Linked DNA regions of Tamandua tetradactyla. The protein of the gene in region 1 interacts with the protein of each later gene in a pairwise test. Links are inferred from orthologs where the notes say so. Each region holds a gene or a part of one and is shown in the gene's direction. Other genes may lie near its edges.

What was found. The genes of interacting proteins can lie anywhere in the genome.
Region 2: the proteins of ARHGEF11 (region 1) and PLXNB1 interact in a two-hybrid assay, tested with the Homo sapiens proteins (2 studies listed by BioGRID). The link is inferred for Tamandua tetradactyla from reciprocal best matches to the Homo sapiens genes ARHGEF11 and PLXNB1.

What each region holds. Positions count from the first base shown.
Region 1 is NC_135330.1:10,069,340-10,076,762, reverse strand, and holds the start of ARHGEF11 (rho guanine nucleotide exchange factor 11), read left to right. Parts: upstream 1-4,421; 5' UTR 4,422-7,423. UniProt on the Homo sapiens protein: May play a role in the regulation of RhoA GTPase by guanine nucleotide-binding alpha-12 (GNA12) and alpha-13 (GNA13). Acts as guanine nucleotide exchange factor (GEF) for RhoA GTPase and may act as GTPase-activating protein (GAP) for GNA12 and GNA13.
Region 2 is NC_135341.1:37,864,610-37,871,822, forward strand, and holds the start of PLXNB1 (plexin-B1), read left to right. Parts: upstream 1-4,192; 5' UTR 4,193-4,737; coding exon 4,738-4,770; intron 4,771-7,213. Other genes in the region: CCDC51 (mitochondrial potassium channel), read left to right, coding at 1-510. UniProt on the Homo sapiens protein: Receptor for SEMA4D. Plays a role in GABAergic synapse development. Mediates SEMA4A- and SEMA4D-dependent inhibitory synapse development. Plays a role in RHOA activation and subsequent changes of the actin cytoskeleton.

The sequences.
Region 1 (7,423 bases):
CAGCTCACCCCAACAACAGGAGAATACACATTCGTTTCAAGTACACAGGTCATAAAACAAGTCTAAACAAATTTAAAAGCACAGAAATCATAGGGATAATATTTTCTTTATATAAATTAAATTAGAAATCAACAATAAGATACCAAATATTTACAAAATATATATAACTTAAACTTCTAAATAACCATGGGTCAAAAAAACATGCAGGAAATTAGCATACTGGATCTAAATAACAGTGAAAGCACAACCTTAAGGAATCAGATAAAGCATTGCTTAGAGAGAAATTCTTTTCTATTTAAATATAATAGAAAAGAAGAAATATTTAAAATACATTATCTGAAGTTCTATCTTGAAAATAAAAAAAAAGAGAGAGAGAACAGATATTACACCTATTAAGGGAACATGGTAAAGAAATGTTTGGCAACCACTGGTCTATCCCCATAAGAGGAAGTGTTGACATTTGGAAGCATCATTTTTGCAGGTAGTGTGAGGAGGGAAGAAACAGTAAAGCGAGTAGGAATTTGGAACGTGGTGACCAACAGTTGGGCAGACCAGTTATCTTTGGGGGTTCTGGCCTAAGGATTGGGGGAAAAGGGATGGAGGCAGCAGGTCTTTCATTTATTTGCCAACCCGTCCCTGACATAATTTAGGTGAAATTCCTAATTCAGAGTAGATCTTCAGGAGGGTTTTGATTTCTTTTTCCTCTTGCTATTTGCAAACCTATTAATTCAAACACTGCTGGGGTCACAGTCCGTACGGTAGGTAAATATACATATGTATATATTCCTTTCAACCCCAGTCAAAGTGGTGTGAAGAGCAGAGACCCTATGCACACATGCCACTAACAGCCGGACCCTGAAAACCAGCACCTCCCTAGGCCAGAAGTCAAAGTTCACTCTCCAGTCCTCACCAAAGTTTTCTATTTATCTTATTTTTTTAATCACAGCGCTTGGGACCTTCTGACAAATACCCTGTTACTTCGATTTAGAAACCATGATTCTAGCTGAGGAGGTTATGAAAACAGATTTGTCCTGGAAAGTCTTTCCCATCGAGTTCAAATACGTTTCACACGGTCCGGTACTAAGATGCCAAAACCAGCCGGAGGGGCATCTGCTAAGGGTCTTTCTTCCCGTGTAGTCGGTGCGTGTTGGAAGTGGGGGGAGCCACGGAAACGAGGAGGGGGGAGTTTAAAAAGCTCCTGGCCACGCAAGGAGGCCCGATAAATTCCTTAAAAATAAAGATGAGAAAAGCGGTGGTGCGAGGGTGAGCTGAGGACCTGGGAGAGCAGGGGTGATGCCGATGAATGCAAAACGGTAAAACCCGAAGACGTCGGGGCGGGTCTGCGGCTCCGGGCACCGCGGCCGGCGGGGGGGAGGTCAGGCGGGGATAACAAAGCTCGGGGTGCGGAGCGCGAGTACCTACGGGGAAAAACGCGCCCGAGCGCAAGCGGCGAGGCGGAGGGAGGGGCGGCGCGCGGTGCCTCGCGGGGTCCGGACGGGGGTCGCCCGCAGGCCGGGCCTGGAAAAGCCCGGGATGTGGCTAAGCCGGGGGGACCAGCTAGGCCGCGCGGGGAGGCGGGGCCGGCGACCGTGAGGCCGCGGCGGGGACCGACCGGGGTGCGGCGACGAGGGCCGAAGGGGGAAAGGGCGCGCTGAGAGGTCGGGAGCGGGGCCGGCAGACGAGCCCTCGAAGGAGGGAAGGGCGGGCAGCTTCTCGGCCCGCGCTCCCGGCCCGGGCGTGAGAGGAAAGGCCGGCGGGCCGCGCCGCGAGGAGGAGGAGCCTGCGGCCCCGCCCCCCCGCGGGAGCGAGGGCAGGAGAAAGGCTCGCGGGGAAGGCCGAGCGAGGGGAGGCGGGGAGGGGGCGGCCGGCCGGGCCTGCGCCCGAGCGAGCGGCGAGCCGAGGGGGAAGGGGCCCGGAAGGAGGCGAGCGCGGCCGCGACGCCGGGAGCCGGACGCCCGCCGGTGCCGGGCCGCAGCCGCCGCAGCCGCCGCCGCCGCCGCCGCCGCCGCCTTCCCGGCTTGCGCTCGAGCTTGGAGTCCGGAGCGGCCGCGAAGGCCGGAGCGAGGCGGTCGGTGTGAGGCAAGCGGGGCCGGGAGCCCGAGGCCCGGCCGGCGGTCCTGCGCCGAGCACGGTGGGCTCCAGCCTGCGAGCTGAGGAACGGGGCGGAGAGGGAGGAAAAAGCGAGGCCGAGAGAAGCGAGGCGATCGGATTTTCCAGGAGGCTGGTGGGAGGAGAGACCTTCCCCGAACTCAAATCCACAATAATAATCCCAACTAATAATAATAAGGGAGCAGTTTTTCTGGCCGGGCGAGAGGGAGAGAAGGGGGAACGGAGGAAACGAAATCGCCGTTTCATGGAGGCTGAGGCAGGAGAAAATTTCGGAGCCTGGATGTGGAGGAGCAAAACAGCAGAACTAACTCAGGAAATTGTCTTTCAGAAAAAGGCTGAACCTAAGCTGGGTCTGAGAACCAAGCTGGGGTAGGTGGAGAAACCTGCAAGTTTAAAGGAAAAAGAAAAAGAGAGAATATTTTCAGAGAGTCTCTGTTTTTGTGTTTATTGCTTCCATTTTAAAGGTTAAAAAGCACTGCATTTTAACCTTTCAGGTGTTTTTTTTTATTTTTTGTGTGTGCGATTGGCTCATTTAAGAATTTCAAAGCATTTAAAGTGAAAGATCTTTTTTTTTAAAAAAAAGAAATCTATACATTTTTGGTTCCTAAGGTTGCACAGGACTTGGAAGGAGTGCTGTTGTATACATACTATTGTATGGGTTTATTTATTTTTTTTACTGTGCAAATCAGCTGAGATTTCTTACAAGTGCCAATTCGGATTTATTCATCCTTTTTTTCCCCCCCCCCTCTCTCTCTCTCCCTCACATATATCCGTTGTCGTCGTTTTAAGCATTGGAGACCAGAAAATTTGTTTTTCTTTGGAGCTTTAGGCTCCCTTGCCAACAGAAGGACAGCTGGGAAAACTGGATTAAAAGGATGGTTATCTGTATTTTACAGTTAAGACTGATATTTTGAAGTCACATTCTTTCTCTGATTCATTTTTTAGCCCATAGCATTAACCTTGAAGAGATTTGTGGTTGGGGTTTTGGTTTCTAAGAAGGTCGTAGTTTTTCCTCTTTTCCTTTCGTTTTTTTTTTTTTTTTTTAGGAGGGGGAGGGGTAGCGGGGGCTAAGAAAGGAGACCATGTTAACTGATATAAGTAGAATGGAGCTTCAGTTACCAGGGTCCTGAGTGCTGGAGGAAAAAAAGATTCAGTCTTCAAGTTGGGAGGGCCTCCTCTCACGTTGCTTAAAAATTGCAAGTGATTCAGTCCTGTTCAAGACACCAAAAGCTACAGGATTCTGGAACCGTGGAGACATCAAGAAACCATGAGTGTAAGGTTACCCCAGAGTATAGACAGGTAGGTTTGCTAATAATTTGATTTTTCTACACTTACTAAAAGAAAGGCTGGTTGGGAGGGTGTTGCATTTTGATAAAAGGTTACAAAAGAATGGTCTGGGTGGGCTATGGTTTTTAGAATCTGTGGGGAAATGTTGACATAGGAGCATTGGGTCTCTTGGGCCTCTCTGGCATTTGTGTTTATGTTCCCTCTGTGTGTGTCCATGTTCAAAACATACCTTTTGATTCTGTGTTTTAAAATACAAGCCATGAGCAATGAAACCAAGGGAAAGGAGAGACAGGGAAATGCTTTTAGGTACCTTTGACTTGCCAGGCTAGAGGCTGAATTTGGGTCCCCATCTTGCCAAGTGTAGGAGGCAGACGGAAGCCTGGTCATGTGGACTGGGATTGGTTTTAGGTGTTGGAATTGCTAGGGGAAGGGCCCCGGCGGCGGGGGGCGGGGGGGGGGGCATGTGTTAGAAGAGGTGGCTTCAAGTGCAGGCCTCTATCAGGCTGGTTGTTAGGGAATGGTGGGGCTTGTGGATGGGATAAATTCCATTTCTAGAATGAAGAGGATGTTCTTGGACTAAATGATGGTACAAGAAACACCCTTTGCACCTAGACAGGCCTGTGTTTTTACCAGCCGCCCCAAAATGCATAGATCATTTTAAGATTTCTTTCTTTCCAGGCTTAGGGTTTAAATTGAGACTTGCTAGCCAGCCAGTACTCTAGCTTTAATTTTCCCTGCAGTGTTGGATAAATTTGACTCTGCAAAACGGAGCTCCCCTCTGCTTAGAGGAGAAGTTGTTTGGGGCTCTGAGGTCTGATGGGCAGAGGTACTGGCTCCTTGGTTTCTTAGCACATAATCCCCTCCCCCGCCAAGAGTCTGCAAAGCCTCCTCTGTCACTGGTAATATATACCCTGTGTTTGTAATTCTTTGCTCCAAAGGATTGGTACAAACTTTGTAAAGTTTCTGCCTTTTCCTTGCCTCCCTTCTTCCTTGAGGATCTGAGATGGGGTGGGTGGGGAGGGAGTGGTTTGTAGGTGCTACACACATCCTACCTGAATAGATGGGTGCATAGAGGATTGAACAAGCGAATGAAAGGACTGGGCCTGGAAAAAAGTATTTTTAGAGAGATGGGGAAGAACATTTGCAGGGGAGCAATTGCTCTCTCTGAGTTAAGTTAACCTTTGGTTATCCATGCTCATAATAATTTCCTTTTGACTGTGGAATGTAGCCTAAAATGCCCATAATCTCTCCCAAACACTAATCTCTGTATTGCTTCAGAGTCCTGCTTAGATTAGTTCAGCAGTCCGCAGACAGGGATCTGACTTGGCAGTGGAGAGAAGGCAGACAGCTACAAAGGATATAATGTGTATGTGGCGGGTTTGAGCCACCTCCACTCCCTTCTCTGTCATTTGACCCTTGTAAAGGGAGACCTGAGACAGATTGAGGCAAAGAGTTAGATGGTTTACGTCTCCCCACTGGGAATTAGTGCACTTACCTTTTTTGAGATGTGGATGGTGAACTACTACTGTGAATTCAGGGGTGGGGCTGCAAGAAGGAGGAGGCAGTAAGGGTTCCTGGGTTGATGTGGGAAGCTCTTCTGGAGTTTATCTATCCTTACAGTCATCTCAGGATTTGTATAGCGTGGTGTGGTTTCAGAAGTGCTTTTATAGTACATATCTCATTTGACTCTCATCACAGTGTTTATGTGAGATAGATAAATCAAGGTTGTTGCCATTTTACTGAGTCTCAGAGAGGATACCTGACTTGCCCAGTACCATCTTGCCTGATGAATGGCAGAAGCTGGACTCAAACGCAATTCTGATTCTGAACCCATGACTCCTTTTATTACCCCACCCTGAGTAACTTGATTCTTATACTTGTCCTGTACAGTGTCGGGGGCAGGAGGGTCGTCATGTAGAAACATGCGTTGTCATTTTATTCTCTCTCTTTGGCAGTAGGGGAAGATGGTCTTCAGCAATCAAGGTATTCCTTTACACTTTCTGTTTAGTAGTCTGGGGATAAAGCACCATTTTCTTCTGCGGGGTGATGTATCAATTGTCCAGTGAGAGCATTCCTCATTTCCACCATCTCCAAGCTTCTCTTCCAATTTATAGGTTTAGTTCTGGCATCCAGGTCCCCTTCCTTCTGGGTATCTCCAGCTGCATTGGATCTTGATCTGTTAGCTGTAAGCTCATTCTTTTGGACGCTTTGACATCCCAGTTTTATGACCCTATGGAGTTTTAAAATAATTGGCAATCTTACACCATACTGGGGGGATGGAGTGGGAGGAAATGTTACAGATTATGTAGTCAAAGATTCTCTTTTGGTTTGTCGGTTCTCTTTGTATAGAATGTAGTGTAAGGTGTTATAAGAGTGCTTTAGAAAATTAAAATATATAGTTCCTGCTCACAAAGAGCACATAATATAATTGGTGACCTAGGAAACACAAGAGACCACATAATACAACGCTAGACTGTAATCTCCATGAAGGCAGGGACTGTTTGGTTTACTTTGTTATATCCAATGTGCTTAGCTCAATGCTTCACAGGTGGCAGGTGCTCAATAAATATTTGACAAGTGAATGCTGGAATGAACATGTGAGCAAGTATAAATTCTTCCATTTCAGACTGTTTCAACATTCGTGAGTTAATTTCAAATATAGTTCAATAAGGTCAGTTAAAGAAGGCTTCCAGATGAGGTGCATTTCCTAGAAACTAAGTGACAAGTTGAGGACCCTGTATATGGGGAGGTATTGTGGCTCAGAGTAAAGAAGGCTTTGGAATATTTATTTGACAGAGTTTTTTTTTTTTTTTCAACTCTGACTTCTGGGTTCATAGAAAGCATTAATTATTAATTATGGCTAGTCCTTATATTTTAATCATACTGAAAGATGATAGGCTAAAGTGTAATTAATTAGTGTCCTTTCACATTTTGTCCATGGACAAATTTATTGCCCACTAATATATTTTCCTTTCAAGAGTTTCTCAAACTGTGTTTGGTATTACAAACAGAGATATTGTTTTTACAGGAGTGGTCATGAGTTTCACTTATTTGTCTGTATACAGGTGTCTAGTTCCTTATGTTAAATGATTTTGAGATGGCCAATCTGGTTATGTGTTTTGCATCTATGAAACAGCTTTTCTCTGTGCAAAGTTAGAGAGTTTATGTGAAGACCAGACCACACAGCGCCTTAGAGAAGTACTAGATTTAAGCCAAGAGTTCTTGATTTGAGCCGTGGCTTTACCCTTTAACTGTGTGACCTTGGGCAAGTTACTTTACCCTCTCTGGCTCCTAACTGTGAAGCAGTGGCTCATTCATGCAAAGTACTTTCCAGTTTACAAATGTTTTCATATAGTGTCATTTGAAGATTATAATATTTATCCCACCTTTCTCATGGAGCTGTTGGAAGGAATGGAACAAATGAGATAAAATATTTCAGATTGCTTTCCAAACCATAAAACTCAGTATAAATTTTAGAAGAGAACCTCACGAACCTAATTTAAGCTTCATGCACTACTTTGTAGCCCAGAACAAATTAAGGAGGCTAAAATATCTTTCCCTTAGTTTGAAAAATTTAAGGAAAGTAAACAGACTTTATGGATGCAAGAGTGAATGGGGTTAGTAAGAAAGAATACTATTCCAGTGGTCAGGGTTGGGTGGTGATACCAGAAGAAAAGTGGAAGGTTATTGAATCTCCTTCCTGGGAATTTTAACAAACGAGGGAGACTTCAGCTGTCCTTAGCTCACTTAGATGTCTTTCAGTGATGGGGATGGAAAGGATTTGTTCTGGCCTTTCCTTGTCTTAGAAGCATGACTTTACTAATTCAAAATAAACCCAGACCCAGCAATTGTTCTCTATCAGAGAACTGAGATCAAATGTAACCTTTCCCCAGTCTACAGCCTTTCTTTCTATGGAAGGCAAAATCTCACATCCGGTAGTGGGTGGGGAAGGGAGGGGAATGAGAGGCCTGTCCTAGGAAAGAGCTCTCAGGCGGAGGGAAAGATGGGTAGAAAAGAGCTGCAGAGG
Region 2 (7,213 bases), on another chromosome or scaffold:
CCTGTGAGCCTCCAGGAAGCCATCCGGGAACAAGCATCCAGCTACTCCCTCCAGCAGAAGGACCTTTACAATCTCATGGCAGACCTGAGGGACCTGGTACATGCTGGGCCAGGGCAGGGCTCTGGGTCCCAGGCAGGTACTTCCCCCACCAGAGGCAGAGACACAGATATACTTTCAGCTGCTTTGAAAGAGCAGCTCAGCCATTCCAGGCAGGTCCATTCATGTCTAGAGGGTTTACGAGAGCAACTTGATGGCCTGGAAAAGACTTTCAGCCAAATGGCTGGGGTGGGTCAGCTTGCAAAGGCAGCAGCACACCCAAGCCTGATAGAGCCAGCAGATGGGGCACCGCCCAGTTCCTTGCCAGAGGGGAGCATGATCTTGGCGCTGTCGGACATGGGGCAGAGGCTAGAAGCCCGGGTCGACAGGAACACTATCTACAGCACGCTGGTCACTTGTGTGACGTTTGCAGCCATGCTGCCTGTACTCTATCTGCTGTTTAGAAACACCTAGCCCCTAGACTCACCTCCAGTGGGTTTGAGGGGGTCAGTGTGGATATGGATTTAGTTAGAGAATCCAGCAATGAAATGAGCCTTCTGGGGGGCTGAGAGGGCGCACAACTTCAGCCTGAGACTGAGCCCTATCTGTGTGGCTCACCTGAGTACCCAGCAGACTCACTCTCCTTTTTAGGCAATGCTTATGTACATTAATTATCAAACTTTGTGCTAATCTACAATTAAAGTATCTTTGAGTTTGTATTATTTAAAGCAATTTACATCAAACTGATTTTGCCCATTGGAAATTGAGATTCATGACTCAAGGGTTGGGCATGGAGTTAGAGCAATTGCTCCTTTAATACCATCTCATCTTAGGTCCCCTAAGATGGTCAGGCCTGGATTTTCATTTTGTATTTTCTGGCCTGACCTCTGCCTGTCTCATCTTCTGTGTCAAATGGGTTAGGGATCTCAGTGCGTGGAACCTAGCCAGCTGTCCCTCATTGGTGACCAGTTACGTCTCTCTTTTGGATTACTTTCTCTGGCTTGGGGTGGGTGGGGGGTGGGGTTGAATCTCCTGGTACTAACGCTTGAGTAATCAGGATAGCAGGGAAGGATTAGGGAGATGGTTGGTAAATGTTGCTTGGGACGTAATTATAGAGATTGGTGGTTATTTTAGTTTTCTGGCTGCTAAAAGAAATACCATACAAAGGGTTGGCTTAAACAACAGGAACTAATTGGCTCACAGTCCAAAACTGAGGAGTCAGTAAGGTGATGCTTTCTCCTCAAAGACTGTGCTGTTTTGGGGTTGGCTGCAGGTGATTCTTGGTCTTTGGCATTTCTGTCACATGGAAATGCAGATGGCAACATCTTTTTCTCTCTTCCAGGTTCTATTGACTTACAGTTTCTGGCTAATCCCTATATCTTTTCTTTGGTGTCCAACTTTCTTTGCTTATAAGGACTTAACAATATGAGATTAAGGCCCACTCTCATTCAGTTTGGGTGAACCATAAACAATAACATCTTCAGTGGTCCTATTTACAAATTGGTTCACACTCAGAGGACCAGGGATTGGGATCTGAACATGCCTTTTGGGGGGGGACATGAGTCAGTCTCCAATAATGACCAAGCTGGGTCCATGGGGCATTGGACAGCACCACTGTGCTGCTGGGGTGTCTTCCCTCACAGAGACTGGGAATGGCCTTGAAGAGGAGGGGCCTTTCAGAGGTGGGAGGTGCAGAGGGGAGTGAAGGCAGACATCCCTGAGGACACCTGACTTTACCTCTCCCTTTTTGGAGGGGAACAATGACCCTTAATCTCCAGGGCTAAATGGCCTTATATGCCCTTGAGTAAACAGGAGTAGTGGGGAGCACTTGGTACTCATGTCAGTATTGGAGGACTCATGGACTTGGCACATGGTGGAGAACCCAGTGTCCCTTTAGAACACACAGTGGCTGTTATGCAGGTTTGCCTATGCGGAGCTGACTTAGCAGAGGGGCCCTCTGCTCATGGTGCCTGTATTCAGGCTGGGCAGTGAGCATGACCTAAGTGGCTCCATGGGTGTTCAGAATCTCAGAGCATCTGGTTCCTCAGTCATTTGGTCACTCTGTCCTTGGTAGTGTTCTCTGTGTTGTGGTTCCCCAGGATGGCATAGGATAAAATGACCCTTGCATTTGACTGTTCACACTCCTGTGGGGCAAGAGATGATGGGGGTTGTGGGGTTTGTTAGTCTTAAGTCCCCTCTGGGTTGAGATGGATCCTGAACAGTGCATGTTGAGTAAATGGATTTGGAAAGGAGTAGATTCCAAGCACGTGGAGGGGGCCCCCAGAAGGTGCAGAAGCAGGAAAGCCAAGGTGGGTGAGGGACTGGTGGCCAGACTGAGTTGGCTGTAGTGGTGATGGGTGTGGGGCAGTTGTGGAGCATGTTAGAGAAAGGTGGAGGACTTGAAGTGCAGGTTGGGAGGCACCAGGGGTCTCTAAAGTCAGAGGCCAGGTGAAGTAGCCTGGAGGGGCCATGATGCTGGCATAGAAGATATGCTGAGCACCTGAACCAGGTGTTGGAAGTGGGAGTGGTTGGGGAGGGAGGATTTGGAAGAGACGTGTGGTGGATGAGAATGTAGGAGGCCCCTTGATAGGGGTGGGTGGTTGGGAACTGTGTGCCTATGGTGTTGCTCTTGTGGTAGTAGCCAGTGTGGGTGACCCAAATCTCCTGGTTGTGGCACCCCCTAGCTGTGAAGATCCTGAGGGTTTCCAGTGTAATGTGTGTAAGACAGATTTTGCCTCCCAGGAGGATGTCCAGATAGCCTTGAGCCAAAGTCCTCCAGAAGTCCTAGCAGGATGGGCCAGGTCCTGGCTCTCAAGTTTACAGAGCACAGGCCAAGGATATGAAGGGACTGGAAAAGGACACAAATAGGCCTCAAGGAGAAGACCCTTCCACTCTAATGAGGGAGTCCAGATTTGCCCAGCTTCCATGGGGCCCAAGGTCACTTTTTGGGAAAGGACCAGAGTACAGGCCTGAGGGGAAAGAAAGGAAATGTAGTCTAGCTCTGCACCTCTGCACGTTCCCTAGGCTCTCCTTTCCCCCCAGGGTAAGGGTGTGGTATCACCCCCATTTGCAAACGAGTAAATAGGCTTGGGGGTCAGGTTACTTGGCTCAGTGAAGGTGCAAACCCAGCCCAGGTTCTTCCCGCACAGTCAGAGGTGGAGGTGGGGGCCGGAAGGAGGGACTGGTTGTTGGGGAGTCCTGGAAGAAGGGGCGGTTGGGGGCGGTGGGGAGAATCAAAGCTCCCAGGAGTTCAGGTAAAGGAAATTGGGGGATGAAGATTACAGGAGCGAGGTACTGGAAGGGGAAGAGAGGGCTCGGGGCGCTGGGCAGGGCTAGGTGGTGGAGGCTAGCGAACTGGCTGAGCAGGTGAGAGGGGGCGGGAAGAGGCCGGAGCTCTGTACCACCAGAACCTAGGAGTGCGGAGCGACACGCCCCCTGCCGCCCCCCGGCCCCCGGCCCCTCTGATCCCGGGAGAGTTCCTGATTCCGGTTCCAGCGCTGCGCGCAGGTGAGGCCCGGCGGGGGAGGGGCGGGGCCGCGGGCTCCACTCCTCACCCCCCACCCGGTCGTTATCCTCGTTGTCACGGTTACCGCCGCGGTGCAGCCGGTCCCCACTCCCCCACGTGGTGGGGTGAACCCCCGGCCTTCGGCAAATGTCGAGCCCGCGGGGCTGGAATGCGGGATCCCCGGCTGCTCGAGGCCGCGCGCCCGGCTCTCTGGCTGCTTCCGGCCTGGCCCGGGCGGCGGGCTGGTGAGGGGGGGAAGGAGCAGAGCCCGGCCCGGCCGACGCGGCTTTGTCTCCTTTGTTCCCCGCGGTAGCAGCGCCGCGGCGGGAGGGGCGGGCAGCGGGCGCAGTTTTCCGCCCCTCGGTCTCCGGGTAACAGCTGCGGCTCCGCCGGACCCACCTCCGGGGGGCGGGGAGGGGGGGCAAGGCCGCGCGCGCAGATCCCGAGCCCGGAGTGGCCGGCGCCCGCCTCGGCGCGCTCATCCCGCGGGGCCCGGCCGGGCGGTGAGTGAGGCGCACGGGCCCGAGTCCGGGCCCGGGGCTGGGGTGGCGGGGACGGGGACCAGGCCGCGTGCCCCAGAGGTGGAAGGACCCCAGGCCGCGATCCCGGCCAGCTGAGGCAGCCTGGGTGAGTGGTGGGCGTTTCGGATATGTGAGTTGGGACTACACTTCTCCGCGCGAAGAGAAACTCTGGCGGCTGCTCCTGTAACGCGATTGGGAGACAGAGGAGGTGGAGCTGCTCCTCCGCGCCCCCTCCTCGCCGCGGCTGGGACCGGCCGGCCTCTTCCCCGCCCTCCCAGGACCACTGGTGGGGTCCTTATCCCGCGGGAAGAGTGAGGGTGGGGGAATAGCCGAATCGGGAGGTCGAGGCTTTCCTTCGGGCTGCACTCGGCGGGCCTGACAAAGGCGGTCCACCACCCTCCTGCCGCACACCCCAAGAGGGGGGACGCCCCTCACCGTTCACTGACTGTGGGTTATTAATGAGCGCTCCCTGAGTTACCGCGGGCGCGTGGCAAATGGTCCCCCCCCCACACACACACACACCCCACCCCGCAACACACAGAAAACAGGGCGGGCGGTGCGCACCAGTGCGCTGTCAATGAGTAACTTGCCTCCTTGGTGGACGCTGGGAACAGAGCAGAGCAGGAGGACCGAAAAGAAAGGCCGATTTCCCACAAACTCCGGAGACGCGGCAAAATGTGGGCTAGGTGGGAGCTAGATCCTCTGCAGGTGCGCAAGGGCAAAATTTGCCTTCCTTTGGTTGGTGAGAACAGCCCTCGGAGGGTCCTGCAGGTGCTTACTCTTGGCAGATATGTTAGGTAGCCTTGGACCGTGCTGAAGAGGTCCAGAGAAAGACTGCTGAGCAGGTCAGGGCAAGAGTTAAGGCTTTGGCTGTGAGCCTGGACTGGGCCTGAGACCTGGGAGTGGGCAGGAGATCTTGCCTGTGCAAGTGGGAATAGGAGGCCTGGCTCCCAAACCAGCCTCTTCTGTCTGCTCTGGCCTGGTCTTTAATATGAGTGGGAATGATGCCTTGCCCTTTGAGAAGGTCATGGACCTACGTCTCCTGGACTGGCTAGGTTTACTTCGCTGTGAAATGGGGGTTCTTTCAGCATACAAGAAAACACCTGCTCTGTACCAATGTCTGTGCTAGTTGCTGGGGCCTCTGAATGAAACACCACACTTCCTGCTTTGAGCGAGCTTCATGTTCGAAGTAGGAGGGTGGAATGGGAAAAAATGGTCTCGGATAGGTGCTGCTAATTCTAGGCACACAGCATATCATGTTTAATGGTTCAGAGCAGTCCTGCCTCCTGTTGTACACATAGGAAATCTGAGGCCCAGAGAGCCAGAGGCAGAGGTACAATAAGTGCTAACACTAGTCCATCCACACTGAGCTCCCTCCTCAGGGCCTGGGAGGACAAGGAAGGCTCCCCGGGGACAGAGTAGCTGGGTGTGGGAGTTAATGGGATGAAGAGGGAGTGGGCATTCCTGGAGGGGGGAACAGCCTGTGTAAAGGCACAGAGGAGTGAAGCCGCCTGCAGTTCAAGCTGCAGGAACGAAGAGCATGTGCGGGGGAGGGCTTTGTCTAGAGGACTTTGACTTTTATCACTGAGGCCCTGGGGTGCTCCAAAGGCTCTGACGAGAGGGCTGTGCTCAGATTCTGCTTGAGTGAGAAAGATCCCACTGAGATGCTGGGATAGGGTGGGGGTGGGGAGCTAGACTAGAGGGGCTGATGGCTGCTCTGTGGCCTGTGGCAGAGGTTAAGTAAAAATACCATGGCTCACTGCCTACCATGGAGGAAAAAATGCCACTGCCCTTCTTCCTTTCTTCCTCCCCCCACCCAGTGCCCTTCCCTACACATGGTTTGCGGGTGGGCGCTGGGCCCAGTTTCACGAGAACTGTGATTGAAGAAGGCTGACAGCTTTTCTGTAGTGGGCCGTGTAGGTCAGTCTCCGACCTCTGTGGCCTGGCCAGGAACTGTTCTGATCCCGCCTCCTCTTCCCCTGGGCCTCTGGATCCAGTTGTGATTTTACATATGGGGAGTGGTTTGATCGCTCCCACTTGAGGGCTGGAAAACCCTGACCTGGGGTAGGCTCAGAGCAAATGAGGGAGTGTTAGTCTAACAATAGGACCCTCTGCCCCAGGCACATCACTGGGAGTGAGGTGGCTGGAGGGAATGAGCAGTCATTGAGAGCAGGAGGTGGCCTCTGCCCTGCTTAGACAGGTTCTTTTTTTCCCAGAGGGAGAAACTCCCCCCCCATCCCTTGGAAACAAGGTGGGGGCTCCTGGGCAGCCTAGCCTGGCTTACCACTATCCTGGGCTTCTCGCCGGGTTCACCGCTCTCCCTGCCACCCACCCTACCCTGTCCCTACCCCCACCCCCTTGGGTGGCAAACAGAGGCAGCCTTGTTCCTGCTTCCATAGAGCTGCCCTGTTCTCTGCACACTAAAAATGGAAACCCCCAAGCTATTTTGGGAGCCGTGCCCAGCGGGCTGTGGCCATGGCTTCCCTTCTCCCACCGGGCTGGTGGACACTCCTCCGAGCCCAGTGCCCAGCCTGGCCTGGGGAAAGCTTTAGGAGTACCCGCCACAGCCTTGACTGGGATGAGCTGACTTGGGCCAATGAAAGCTCTTGAGAGAGCCTGCTTGGACAGCCTGACAGCTGGGTGGTGGTGGTGGGGGCCGGGTGGCATGACCTGAGCACAGGCAGGTAGACTAAGTGTTGCCCAGCCTAGAAGACATGACCCATGGCAGGACTTTGCCAATCTTGGTGTTCCTAGTTAAGGACACTTGGGGTTTGGGGAAGGTAGTCCTGCCATAGTTTCCTGGTCTCTGGGTCTCAGGCCTCAGCTGGGACCTGTAAGGAGGTGTCAATTAAGAGAGAGGCATCCAAGGTCTGAGGAGGTCTGGAGATGGGCCAGAAATTGGAGACATAGCCAGCCATGGTGACATCCTCCAGGACACCCTCTTTCTCATCTCCTCTCCCACTTACTCCACACCTTGGGCCCTGGCTCTGCTTTGACCTTCTGGACTAGTCAGTCCTGTTGTACATGAGGCTTGAACCAGAGAGGTATCTAAATGTGCAGGGTGGCATGCATATTTGGGGAGTTTGTGTGATGTGTGCCTGTGTGAGGTGCTTGTTTGTGCAATGTGGGTATTTCTGTGTGTGGTAGGGTT